2 linked regions of the Cricetulus griseus genome follow. The protein of the gene in region 1 purifies or fractionates together with the protein of each later gene. This does not show direct contact. Links are inferred from orthologs where the notes say so. Each region holds a gene or a part of one and is shown in the gene's direction. Other genes may lie near its edges.

Evidence for each region.
Region 2: the proteins of Kdr (region 1) and Cdh5 purify together in Homo sapiens (affinity purification with western blotting; 3 studies listed by BioGRID and IntAct, with this or other methods). This does not show direct contact. The link is inferred for Cricetulus griseus from reciprocal best matches to the Homo sapiens genes KDR and CDH5.

The regions. Positions count from the first base shown.
Region 1 is NW_023276807.1:142,448,242-142,454,930, reverse strand, and holds the start of Kdr (vascular endothelial growth factor receptor 2), read left to right. Parts: upstream 1-2,172; coding exon 2,173-2,239; intron 2,240-5,917; coding exon 5,918-6,011; intron 6,012-6,689. UniProt on the Homo sapiens protein: Tyrosine-protein kinase that acts as a cell-surface receptor for VEGFA, VEGFC and VEGFD. Plays an essential role in the regulation of angiogenesis, vascular development, vascular permeability, and embryonic hematopoiesis.
Region 2 is NC_048596.1:180,296,493-180,302,457, forward strand, and holds part of Cdh5 (cadherin-5), read left to right. Parts: intron 1-973; coding exon 974-1,262; intron 1,263-2,014; coding exon 2,015-2,131; intron 2,132-3,534; coding exon 3,535-3,699; intron 3,700-4,768; coding exon 4,769-4,956; intron 4,957-5,965. UniProt on the Homo sapiens protein: Cadherins are calcium-dependent cell adhesion proteins. They preferentially interact with themselves in a homophilic manner in connecting cells; cadherins may thus contribute to the sorting of heterogeneous cell types.

The DNA.
Region 1 (6,689 bases):
GTTCTGGTTTGTATTAGAGGAGACACTATCTTCTAAGTAAAACATGGAAGAGGAAGTGTCCAGAATTGTAAATAAGGCTTCCAGAGAAGCCTTGTTTTGGGACCATGATGGAGAAAAGCCATCTTGTCCAAGTCAGGATCCATCTTTGCTCCCTTTACCCAAATCTGACACAGACACTCCTGGATCATTTTCTGAGGTTTGTTTTAGTTCGTTTGCTTTACTCTCCAGAAAGAGATGTTTCTACATTGTTCACAAATAAATACCTCTCCAGTAAAAGTCTGCTTACGCAGTAGAAGACCATTAAGAATGAGCCAGAACCTCAGAATGCTCTCCATAGGTACACTGGAAAGTGAAAACAGTGAAGGCTTCAAACAGCCTTCAGATGGAGTTTCCATTTATGAGAAGAAAATGCAATACAAACCGACCTGAATGTGCATAGAATTTGCATGCCTCCATCAAAGCAAGAGGGCCACACTGAGCATCTCCATGTTTTTCTAGCATAATTTCACCACATAGATTCACTATGTGCTGAAACCTTTTTTTCTGTGAACTTGGGGAAAAATCAAAAAACCAAACCAAACCAAACCACAACAAAAAACCGCTGGAGCGTGGCATGTGCTTCTAGCACCATTCTTCCAGCTAAAGTACATTCATGAAGAAGGGACAACGCTGTTTCTCCCCTCTTTAAAAAAGGAAAGCATCTTGCTACTTTAGTTGTGCACTAATGTACCTCAATGTTACACTAATGTAGTTTGGATTAGATATAGAAGCAATAATCTTTTCTTTTTACCCTGCTAAAGGACTGTCCTTTAACCTGTCATTACGAAAGCATTTGGTTATTGTCAGGGGTAAAAGATGTAAGGGATATTTGTTGTCATTTCCCAGGTGTGGAAGAAATGGAAAGAAAACTAGGGACGAAAGTGGTCATGAAGGAACCACAGTTCCTCCTTGGTCACCACTTGAAATCTACATAGACGGAGAATGTAGGAAGTCTGTTCACACAGGGACCATTTGTCCCTTTGCTCCTGCAGTGACACTCCGGTAGAGAAATGCCCCTTTCCCTTTCGCTGAAAAGTCTCTTGGTTGAAAGATCAGCTCTGAAAAAGGTCTGGCCAAAGTCACTCTAGGGGACCGTGGTCACGGAACCGGGTGGACCAAACTACTCTAGCAGTCATAGAAGGGTCAGTGCCCATCACTGTGCGGGGAGCCCTGGTCACCTCCAGCTCCCTGGATCTCTCGCTGTAGGCTTTTTGGACAGAACCAGGCAGGAGTCCCTAACCGAAATGTCTTCTAGAGCTAGGCAGGTAACTTCAGAATTGAAGTTGCTGGAGATGGAGGTGAAAACTGTAAGGGCATTGGCAACCTGGATAAGCGTCTAATTAAGGCATTTAGTCGGGAATTTTAAATTTATAGCTCAGCTGGCCAAAGCACTAAAAGCAAAACTCCCAAGTACTGGCCAACTCACTGCAAGTTGGTGCCCCAAATACATCCAGGTCTAGTGTTCATATGCTCCAACCTGCCGCGGGTTTCTTGGTCGCTTGGGACGCTCAGCTGCAACAGCGTTTTGAGTTCTGTACTTGGAGGCGCCTAATGAGGGCTTAATGGGCCTTTTGATTATGGTGATGCTTCCCAGGTTGTGGGGACAAAAGTTTCTCAGAACCCGTTGCTGGCTACATTTTACTTCCACCAGAAACCGAACTGCGTTCAGTTTTTCTCCCGGCTACGACTTGCCGGGCTAGTGGGGGAGTGGGCGTGGGAAACCGGGAAATCCAAACCCGGAATCCAGTGAGGGGCGTGGCCGGACGCCGGGAGTCCCCGCCCCTCCCAGAAATGGCCCCGCCCCCATACTCTAGAGTTTAGCCTGCGCTCGCGGTCTGCACTGAATCCTCAGGACCCCAAAAGAGTAGCAGTTGGCTGTGTTTCCTTAGATTGCACGGTGCGTTACCTGGCACGATAGAAAGCTCAGATTGCGACCCGCAGCCGGGATAACCTGGCTTGCCGGTGTCCGCAGATTCCGCTGCAGTTGCGGCCGGAGCCCGGGTGCCCTTGCCCCGCGCTCTCCCGGTCCTGCGCTGCAGGGTGCGTATCGCCTCTGTGACTTTTTTGCGGGCCAGGGACCGAGAAAGAGTCTGTGCCTAAGAACTGGGCTCTGTGCCCAGAGCGAGGTGCAGGATGGAGAGCAAGACGCTGCTAGCTGTCGCTCTGTGGCTCTGCGTGGAGACCCAGGCCGCCTCTGTGGGTAAGGAGCCCACTCTCTGAAAGTAAAACGACGAAGTAGGGTGCGGGCGGAGAGAGGGGATACAGGAGAAGAGGACCTAACTCGGAGAGAACTAGGGAACCTACCCTTTGGTGTTCTTTCATTATCTTCGGGGAAACAGCTTCAAAGACTAGTCCAAAACGACCCAGCCTGTCGATGGTCCCCAGAACTCTAATCTCCCCCGGGCTTCAGTTGGAGCCTGTTGTGCGGACCCAACACAGCCTCGGGCTCTGGGGAGGCGGGAGTGGGAAGGAGATGCCCCACAGGCAAGAACAGGCAATAAAACGCCTGGAAGCAAGCGCAAGCCGGGCGCCCTGCGTGGCATCCTGCACTCCGCGCTGCCTCCACCGAGTGGAGCAGGGAACCCGCCCTCTGCTCCGCTCCCCTTTAGCTCCAGCACTTGCGCACACCGTCTATGTGAGGTGAGATCTCTTCATAGGGCGACACTTTGCTCCTCCAACTTTCTTTGGTGCAGAATGCTACTTTCCTCGCAGGAAGAAGAGGCAGTCCCCCCTTCTGTGACAGTTACTCCGAGTGTCTTAAAGTAACTATCCACCTAATACCCCAAAACGTTTGGTCCTGGGGTAAACTCAGTCAGAAACAGAGTTTCAGAAATCTCTTGGGTTTGGCACTTTATAGAGCCACTTTTCATGACACTTAAAATTGCCCTCTGCTTCAAGGTTAGTCCTTCCCTTCCCTTCCCTTCCCTTCCCTTCCCTTCCCTTCCCTTCCCTTCCCTTCCCTTCCCTTCCCTTCCCTTCCCTTCCTTCCCTTCCCTTCCCTTCCCTTCCCTTCCCTTCCCTTCCTTCTCCCCCCCCCCCCCCAGTTCTCTTCCATTTCCTTTTTGTAGCCAGTTTGCTCGTTTCCCAATCTCTACCCGTTGGAGAATGGAGGGAGAGTCAGAAAAAATTCAATTCCGTAAAAAATATTCCTTGCATCAGAAGACAACTGCGTGCCTTAAAAACACTGGCACTGAAATACAGTACCAAGATCATCTGTCTACAGTTATTGAGTTTTCTTCATAATGACTCGGTTCATCAGGCCAGCTCCATCATGGGTGCTCATTTGTCCCTGACAAACGCCCACTCTCCCCCCTTCTGGGAAGAGAAAGATAGTCTGGAATATGTGCTTGCCCTGTGTCCCACAAAGAAGTGAGTTGCTTTGAAGCCTGGGGTGTTCCTAGAGCAGCAGTTTAACAGTAGCCTGGTTCCCTGAATAAAATGGAGGTTGCCCTTTCGGAGTGTGTGACTTGCTTAATTGGATTGGACTATAATTGGTGCCATCGAAGTCTAGAGACAGAGCTGCTGTTGTTTTTCCTTCTTGTCTTCGAGCAGGAAGGATAACAGTGCACAAATTAATTAGTGTTGGTTATGGGATTCGAACATAAAAGGGCTTTTATTGTGTAGTAGCATATGTACCTCTTACAGTCAGAACTAGCTTTCTAAAGGAGAGGACCCAAACTTGCCAATGAAAATGAATGGGGTTTAATGGGTGGAGGGAGTGTTAGTCATTGATGTAACTCTCCAGTTATTATTGATAACCTTATTGGCTAGATTTGATTGTGGAGCGATCCCTAGAATAGCGTGGTGTTGTATATGGCTTCTTGTGAATGGGATGTCTCTTAAAGATGAATATAGCTAATGTGCCAGCAGTCTAAGATAATCTCTGGCTGTACTTTATTACAGAGACAGTCAAGAGGCTTTCAGTGGCTGTGGCATGTAGATCAGAGATAGAGCACTGAGAGTCTGGGTTCGCTTCCCAGCACTGAAGAATAAAAGTCATTTGCTGCAGAGGTAGAGTGGACACAGCTTATTGAATGGTGGTTATTTACTACCACATTTTCCCTTACACATTTGCCCAACTGATGGCTTCTTTTTCATTTGGCTCCTCATATGAGTCGTATCCAGTTATTGTTTTGGGGTTAATATTTCTGAGTCATGTTTAAAATCTACTTATCAAACAAATTGTATTTTTCACTTCTCAAACCAAGTAGCATTCCATCATTGGAAGACGTGTTTATGTGCTTGCCTTCTTTCATATTGAAAAGTGATTACACTGATTGATTAAACATGACTACCCATGACTACCCCACAGAGCACCCGTGACACAGTCACTTTAAATGCCACTTAAAGTGTATATTTGCAGATCTAGGAATATCCAAACACCACATAAAGTTCAGAACCACTGCCCAAATACAAGTCATTGATGATGTCAACTAGCTTCTGGGGGTTATTAATGTCATTTCATTTCCAATGATTGAAAACATGTCATCAATCAATATATCTATAGTTAGATCAGCAACATATGTGCATCTGATTAGATTGGGTGTATTTGGGGTGGTGTAGCTGTAGATTGTTCTGCACATCTGTGCAGGTGTGTGAGACCCTGTGCTGTCAGTTAACCACCTGCTTCCAGTTGTTCACATAGGGGCCACGGTGTCACAGCACTGGCTATTTGCCCTGGCTGTTTGCTCATACTCTCTTCTTTCACACGGCCCCGTATTTGTTCACGTTCACTTATTTGCCCAACAAGGTCAATGCCAGCTGAGACCCTACGAGTCATCTGTTCTGAGTTGGTGTGAATTAGAAAGCCTGGGTGGCTGCCTGGTATTAATTAGTTATCTTTTTCTTTTGAGACAGTCTCACTCACTATATGGCCCAGGCTAGACTCAAACTTACAGTCCTCTTGTTTGGTCCATTTGAGTGCTGGGCTTCCTGGTGTGCACCACCAGGCTAGGCAGATCAGTTACTTTCCAAGCTGAGAGCTGGAAGATTTTGATGTCCCTTAGCATGGTGGGCAACTCCTCTTTTTCTCATGCTTTTAACATGCCTGGTAACACTTTACATTTAGATGACTGACACCTAGTTATCTTGCTGTGGTGTGACCTGTTAGAGACGTGTATATCTCATGATATCTTTCTGTGTTTTAGTTTTTTTAGGTAACATGTATCTTGTGTCTGGAGCTTTGTGTCTAGATGAGCTCAGAGCTTTGATTAATTAATCAGTTGAGAACCCCCCATTGTAGCTCATTAGAGTTACACTATTTTAAGTTTTGCTCAGAGGAAAAGTATATTAATATGCATGTATGCATGAACTTGAGAGATTTTTACTCTTCCTCAATTCATTTTCCTTCATCTAAACGCCCTGTCTTTATGAGCCACTACCGCAGCTTGATTACCAAAGGAAATCTGCTATACTGCCTGATAAAAGACAATGGGACAAAGGTCACAGTAGCTCCTGCCCCTTTTTTGGGGGGAGGTATGGAGATGAGCTGTATAGAGATCTCTCTAGGGAGTTTTCATTAATCAGCAATTTAGTCAGATGTGTACATCCTATGCTTTCCCAAGGGCCTGAGATCATCAGATGGTGGCTCACCGGGTTTCGATGTCCCATATCCTTTTGTAAGACCTTGAAGTTGGCAGTGCAGGAAAACAGGAACTCCACCCTAGCACTGTGAATTGCAGAACTGTTGTGTTGGTTTGTGACCATCTGCCCATTCTTCCTGTTATGACAGAGCTTGTGAACTTTTACTGGGAATGGGGCAAAGCAGATTCCACTTTTGTACGATGAATTGCTGAAGAGGTCTTTTAAAACTTGGAGTATGCATTGCTGATGGAAGGTGTTTCCTATGGGGTCCGACTCTTGTCTAATTTCTTTCTAGGTTTGCCAGATGATTCCCTCCATCCACCCAAGCTCAGCACACAAAAAGATGTACTTACAATTTTGGCCAATACAACCCTTCAGATTACTTGCAGGTAAGGGTTCGTTTTAGATTCAGATTTCCTGTGTGCAAGGACTCATTGTTTACTGAGGTCACAACATTTCCATTACTGCAGAATTATAATAGTATTGTTGTAATTGTTTATAAGTCATGAGGCTTCTAAGAACTCATGCAATAACGAAACAATGAGAAAGGTCTCTTCAAACTTTTGTACTGTTTTGACGGGCCTTTTCAACACGTACAAATGCATACTCACATATGCATTTGCACAACCATGCACACATGTACATGCGTGCCAAAAACTGACATGTGATAGACATTCATGACTATTGATGAATCAGTAAAGTTAAGGGCTTATCCTTGTGAAATAGAGTGGAAGTCTGAGCCATGTTCATGTCAGTTCGAATGACTTGTGAACATCTTTTTAGCCCTTTATAAGAACTGTGTTCTACAAATGAAATTCTGTCTGTAGTAGCAACTTAATCTCTAGCCAACAATATTCCTGACCATATGTCCTGCTCAAAACATGAACTGCATACTCTGGCTTGATATTCAGGCCCTCTTTCCCTCTTGCCCGCAAGTAGCCACGCTACTGATGCTGGATAAGCAGGGAAACAGAACTCTTAGACAAGAGGAGGCCTTTGAATTTTGCTTTTCAACCAAGAGTCAAGAAAGGAAACCTAGAGGAGGTATAGGTGGATATGGCACTCAT
Region 2 (5,965 bases), on another chromosome or scaffold:
AACAGTTGGCAAAAGCAACTTCTAGAAGGGGGGAGCTTAATCAGGCTCAGGGTTTGAAGGTGCAGTGAGGAGGGGCAGGGAGGAGAGGCTGGAGGTAAAGGGTCACCCCTCTGTGCTCCTGTACAGTCAGGAGCAGACAGATGGAGGCAGCTGCTTCATTTACTATCTCCTTTTTACTCAATTCAGTACCCCAGTCCCTAGGGTGATGATGCCTATATTGAGTGTGGACTTTCCCATCTCTGTCAATGCTTTCTAGAAAACCGTAACAGTCACATTCAGAGGCATGTCTCCTAGGTTGGTTTCAAATACCCAAATCCTAAGTTGACAAACCATTTATAATAATGATTTATTTCATCATATGTTCAGATGATTTAATTTTTAATATGGCTACATTTAACAGTCAGATCACAGATATTCCCCAATTCTAGTCAAGTTTTCAAATCCATGTTGGTATCAGCCAGCTCCAATGTATCACTGGCATGTATCCTGTTTTTGCATGGGGCAACAAAAGAAGCCAAGGTTTCCTGGCACTCATTTCCAAGCGGACTGCTCTACTCATTAGTGCAAATCAGCCTTAGAAATTCAATTAGCTCCATTTTACAGATGAGATGGTAACAATATAAGGGATAATGATGCCTTTTATTCTTCACTGGCAAGTGGCTTACTGGGATCCAGGCACCATTCTAGGCATTGAACACAGCTAAGAAATGCTCATCACTGCTTGCGGTGACCTGGTGAAGAAGAATTCACTGGTGACCAGTCAAAAGTTCTTGTTTAAAGCCTCAGTGTCACAATGAGGATTGATCCCTATACATCACTACACATATGATACTATGCACATAGTGCATATATGCATACAGACACCCCCACATGCATGCACACACACAAACTTGCACAATTGTGTGTGCACACACTCACAAATGCAAGTAGCCATACTTTCCGTTCCTAGCTCATGTTGTCTGTTCTTTCCCAGATCAAGTCCAGCGTGAACCGTAAGAATGCCAAGTATGTCCTCCAAGGAGAGTTTGCTGGCACCATCTTCCGGGTCAATTCTGACTCAGGAGATGTGTATGCCTTTGAGAGATTAGACCGGGAAAAGGTCCCTGAGTACTACCTTACTGCTCTCATTGTGGACAAGGAGAGCAACAAAAACCTGGAGCGACCTTCCAGCTTCACTGTCAAGGTTCATGATGTAAACGACAACTGGCCTGTGTTTACAAGCCAGGTATTCAACGCATCTGTGCCAGAGATGTCAGCTATGGGTATGTGCCTAGTCTGCCCTCTCTTTCACCTCTCACATCAGCCATCTCACTGCCTAGGGTCAGGCTTCAGTAAGTTCAAGGAAGTAGGTGTAATGTTGTGTTGCCTCTTGACATGATTTCAAAATTTGTCCCTAAAGGCTAACCTCTGACCTAGTCCCACACTAAACCCTGTCCCTAAACACAGATGGGTTCTGATTCTCATAATGTGCTAAGCACTGACTATCCTTATAGTCTGGGCCCTGACCCTGACCCCAGCGTGTGTCATCACACTAAATATAGGTTTAGGAATTGCTAGCCTGTCCTCATCCTGCTTCCAGAGGCACAGGAAAAGAGTGTCCAGGCTCTGTGTTCAGGGCCCGGAGGTTGGACCTTTTTGAGGGAATCCTAGAACTCCAGAGACTGAGAAGTGTGGTCCCCCTCACTCTGGAGGCTTCCCAATACCCTTTCCTGTCCCACATTCTCTCATCTTCAAAAGAGGTGAAGCCATCCAGAACCCTCCCGTTTCTCTCTCAAACCAAACATCTCCCTCTCTTCATTTCTCCCACAAATCCACAAACCACCTGTTCTCTTTGCAACCTTCATGACTCATCTGGCTGGGCCTACCATTGCTGGCACTTCACCCTCACAATGGCCCCTCTGGCACAAGGCAAACTTTCTCCCTCAGCTTGGTGGTAAGAACAGCAGAACCCCATCTGCTCCCACCAGGGAATCCAGTAAGAGCAGATACACCAGAATTCTCTCTCTCTCCACAGGGACCTCCGTCATCCGTGTGACAGCAGTGGATGCTGATGACCCCACGGTGGATGGCCACGCCACTGTCATGTACCAAATCCTAAAAGGAAATGAGTACTTCAACATTGATAATTCTGGTCTGTATGAGTAACCCTTTTGGGTGGGTACCTCTTTGGGGGATTTGGGGACATGAATATTGCAGGTGCCAATGCAGAGGGAAGTCTAACCTGACAGGTGTCACCAGCCATTGCTCCAGGGAAGGAATACGTAATATACATAAAGACATATTGGGGCAGGTTAGGGGAGGAAGCAAACAGGTGCTCAAAGCATTCACGGAAAGAAAATAGGGGTCTTTTCACCCTATTTTCAGAGACCAGGACTCAACAAAAATGCTAGTTGGAAGGTCTTTGTACATGTCCAGAGACATTGAGTTAAAACCCTGCACTGCTACTCAGTTTTACAGTCCTTGGGCAAGTCAACTAATGCCTTATAATCCTTATTTCCTTTGTCCAGAAACTAGGAATGTTCATAGCCCTTTGTTCAGTCGCTATGAAATTTGAATTAGATTATGCACAGACACAGCCATGCCACATAATTTTTTTGTGCCTTGCTAAAGGGAAAACTTTAGACCAATTAAATTTTATCAAATTTAATTTTGCAAAGAATAGTTCACAAATTGGGACACCCCAGAAGCCAAACAACTTCAGAGAAACCCCATGGCTGCCACATAGTTGGGTGGTATTTATAGTGTAGAAAAAAAATCCTGCAGTCTAGAAAGAGCTCAGTTGGTTACAGCTGGGTGTCTGCCTTATTTGAACAGCTTTGAACAGGTGGCAGCCTATGATTAACTGGAGCACAGCTGCTGTGATTGGCTGAGCATACTCCTAAGTTAGGGGTTTAGTTTATTTACACACTACTAGGTTGCAGTTCATCACAGAAGGATTCGAGTCTGCAAAGTACAGAAGGTTTCTCAGGCCAAATTTGGTTCAGTTTAACACATTTGAAAAACTAAGTGTTGAGTCCTGGAAGCAAGAAAGAAGGCCAGTTAGTCAAACTAGGCATACTGTCTTCAAGGAGATGAGCAAATACATAATGCAACTGATAGTTCTATGTGCATCAAGATAGACATCATTAATCCATCACAGCTCTCAACACTAAAAATTGTAGCCACTTCTATATATGTCAAGACAGACGTCATTAATCAAGTACAACACGCTCAGTATAAAACATGGCACAGCCAACCATATCTATTTGAACCAAGGCAGACACCACTTATCCATCACTCTGAGCCTGGAACTGGCCTTATGGTATTTCTCAACATAAGTCTCTCTCTGGCTAGGAACAATATTGGACCACACATTTTGGCCAGCTTTTAGCCATACAGAGCAAGATCTGGAAGAAGTGGGCTATAGTCCTGAGGTTCTCAATCTCAGATATATAGTAGAGTCACCTATGTCTTTTCTAGGGAAGGTCTGAGCACCCAGATTTTCTCAAGATTCCTCAGATAACACAATTCCTTTTGGGACACTTTTTTTTTCAGGACTCATTTTAACAAAGGACAAAAACTTAGACAGAGAGACGAAGGCTGAGTACAAGGTTGTGGTGGAAGCACGAGATGCCCAGGGTCTTCGGGGAGAGTCAGGCACAGCGACTGTGATGATCAGACTGGAAGACATCAATGACAACTTTCCCATCTTTACTCAGTGTAAGCCTCTCCCATTGAGCCTTAAGCAGACAGGCTGGGACAATCCAGACTCAACGATTTGGAGGGTCTCACAAAGGTACCCCAAACCTCTTTACATCTCCCCATATCCTGGAGTGCTTCTGGAGCCAGAATATGGAGACCTCACACCATCCTTATACATTGCTCCCAAGGTCACCCAATTCCATTGATGGGTCCCCTCTCAGACCAGACAAAAATCACACCTTTGCTGATGCCACTGCAGTGCTTCAAGTAGCACTGTGAGGTAGAGGTGATGTCACCCAGATCCCACAGGCTTGGCAAACCTGGCCTCTGAGGGCCCAGCTATAAAATCCCAGAAAAATAGGGGTACAACAAAAGCCTGGCATAAACCTACCCACAAATTGATTTTCCCTTAAGCCTGTTAAGAGCTTTTCTTGTATCCCAGGTGCCATTGGGTAGGAAAAGTGAGTGGGGATATTCTTGGCACCCTCTAGCTCTGCTTTCATTCTGGCCTCAGTTGCCCCCAAATTGTCTAGCTCTGAAGTAGCATTGCTGTATATGGCATAAATGTCCCGAGGGCAAGATTTGTCTTTCTTGTCTGTTGATGTTCCAAAGTACAGAATGAGCTTAGTAACTACTTGGTGCATTGACAGAAGGATGGTCCCTTGCCTTGGGACCCAGAATCCCATGGTCATAAGTTTCTTGCCTGTTTCCTGTAACAAAATATTGTATGATACCCAGATAAGGCAGAATATACCTGTGGCCCCAACAACAAGAGACAGAGACAAGAAAATTACAAGTTCAAATCCAGTCTGGGCTACAGAGCAAGTATCTATCTCAAAAGTTCAAAGGGTAGAGGTGTAGCTAAGTGGTAGAGTGTTTGCCTAGTCTAGGTAAGACTGTTGGTTCAGTTTCTCTCTCTCTCTCTCTCTCTCTCTCTCTCTCTCTCTCTCTCTCTCTCTCTCTCTCTGTGTGTGTGTGTGTGTGTGTGTGTGTGTGTGTGTGTGTGTGTGTGTGTGTGTGTGATAATATGAAGGGACAATTGTCTTATCTATCTCATTAACTCTTTGTGGTACTCTATGCATATCAGCCACATACACATTTTCGGTGCCTGAAGACATCCGTGTGGGCAGCCCCTTGGGCTTTCTGTCAGTTGAGGACCCAGATGAACCTCAGAACCGAATGACCAAGTACAGCATCATACAGGGCGAGTACAGGGACACTTTCACCATTGAGACAGACCCCAACCGCAATGAAGGTATCATCAAGCCCACGAAGGTATGTAGACTTGTAGTTCTGAATCCAATCATGGGCTGTGGAGTTTGGCATCCAAAGGACACTCAGGGATTGCTTCTGAGCCACAGTCCATTGAAGGAGAATATTCTTGTACAGCTTGGAGCCAGCCATATGCTCACGGAGACTCTAATCCAATGTCTCAGGCTGAGTTCCAGAAATAAGCCAGGGGCAAGGCTTTGGGAATGAAATGTTTATTTGGGAAATAATCCCTGGAAGCCTCAGGAGCAATGACTAGTGGCAAGAAGATAGATCCTCTTGAGATCAATGATGAGCAGGTTACAAGTGGGGCCCAGTCCCATGGGAGCAACATAGAGCACACCTCAGAGCTGCAGCAGGAAGGTCAGGTGCTGGGGTAAGCAGCCACAAACCTTGCAGTGCAGACAGAGAGCACTTGTTCTAGTATCATTTCTGTTGTTATAAAATAACCTTGACCAAAAACAACCTTGGAAAAGGGTGTATTTGGCTTACAATTCGAAATTGAGTCCATTGTTAAAGGAGAGTCACAGTGGTAAGAGCTGGTCACATCACCTCAACAGTCAAAAGCAGAAAGAAATGAATGCACTCATACTTCATGTCTGTGGCTTCAGCTGTTTGCTAGCTTTCTCCTTGAACACAATTCAAGACAAGGCCTAGGGAGAGGTACTGCCCACAAAGGGCTGGGTCTTCTACACTAATTAACAGTGGAGAAACCCCCACCTCCCAGACAAGCCCACAGGCAACCTAATCTAGGCAATTCCTCAGTTGAGGTTCCCTTCTCAGGTTATTTGGAAAATATTATTCCAGGTAAAATGGAAACTTGGCATTTGATACTTACCAGCACAGTGCCCCCCAACATTAGAAATATATATATATATATATATATATATATATATATATGGTACAAATATATATATATATATATATAATATATATATATATATATATATGCAGAGGGTACAAATGGCAGCAAGCAAAGTCAGACTGACTGAATCCAGAAGAGGAGGGAGAGGAG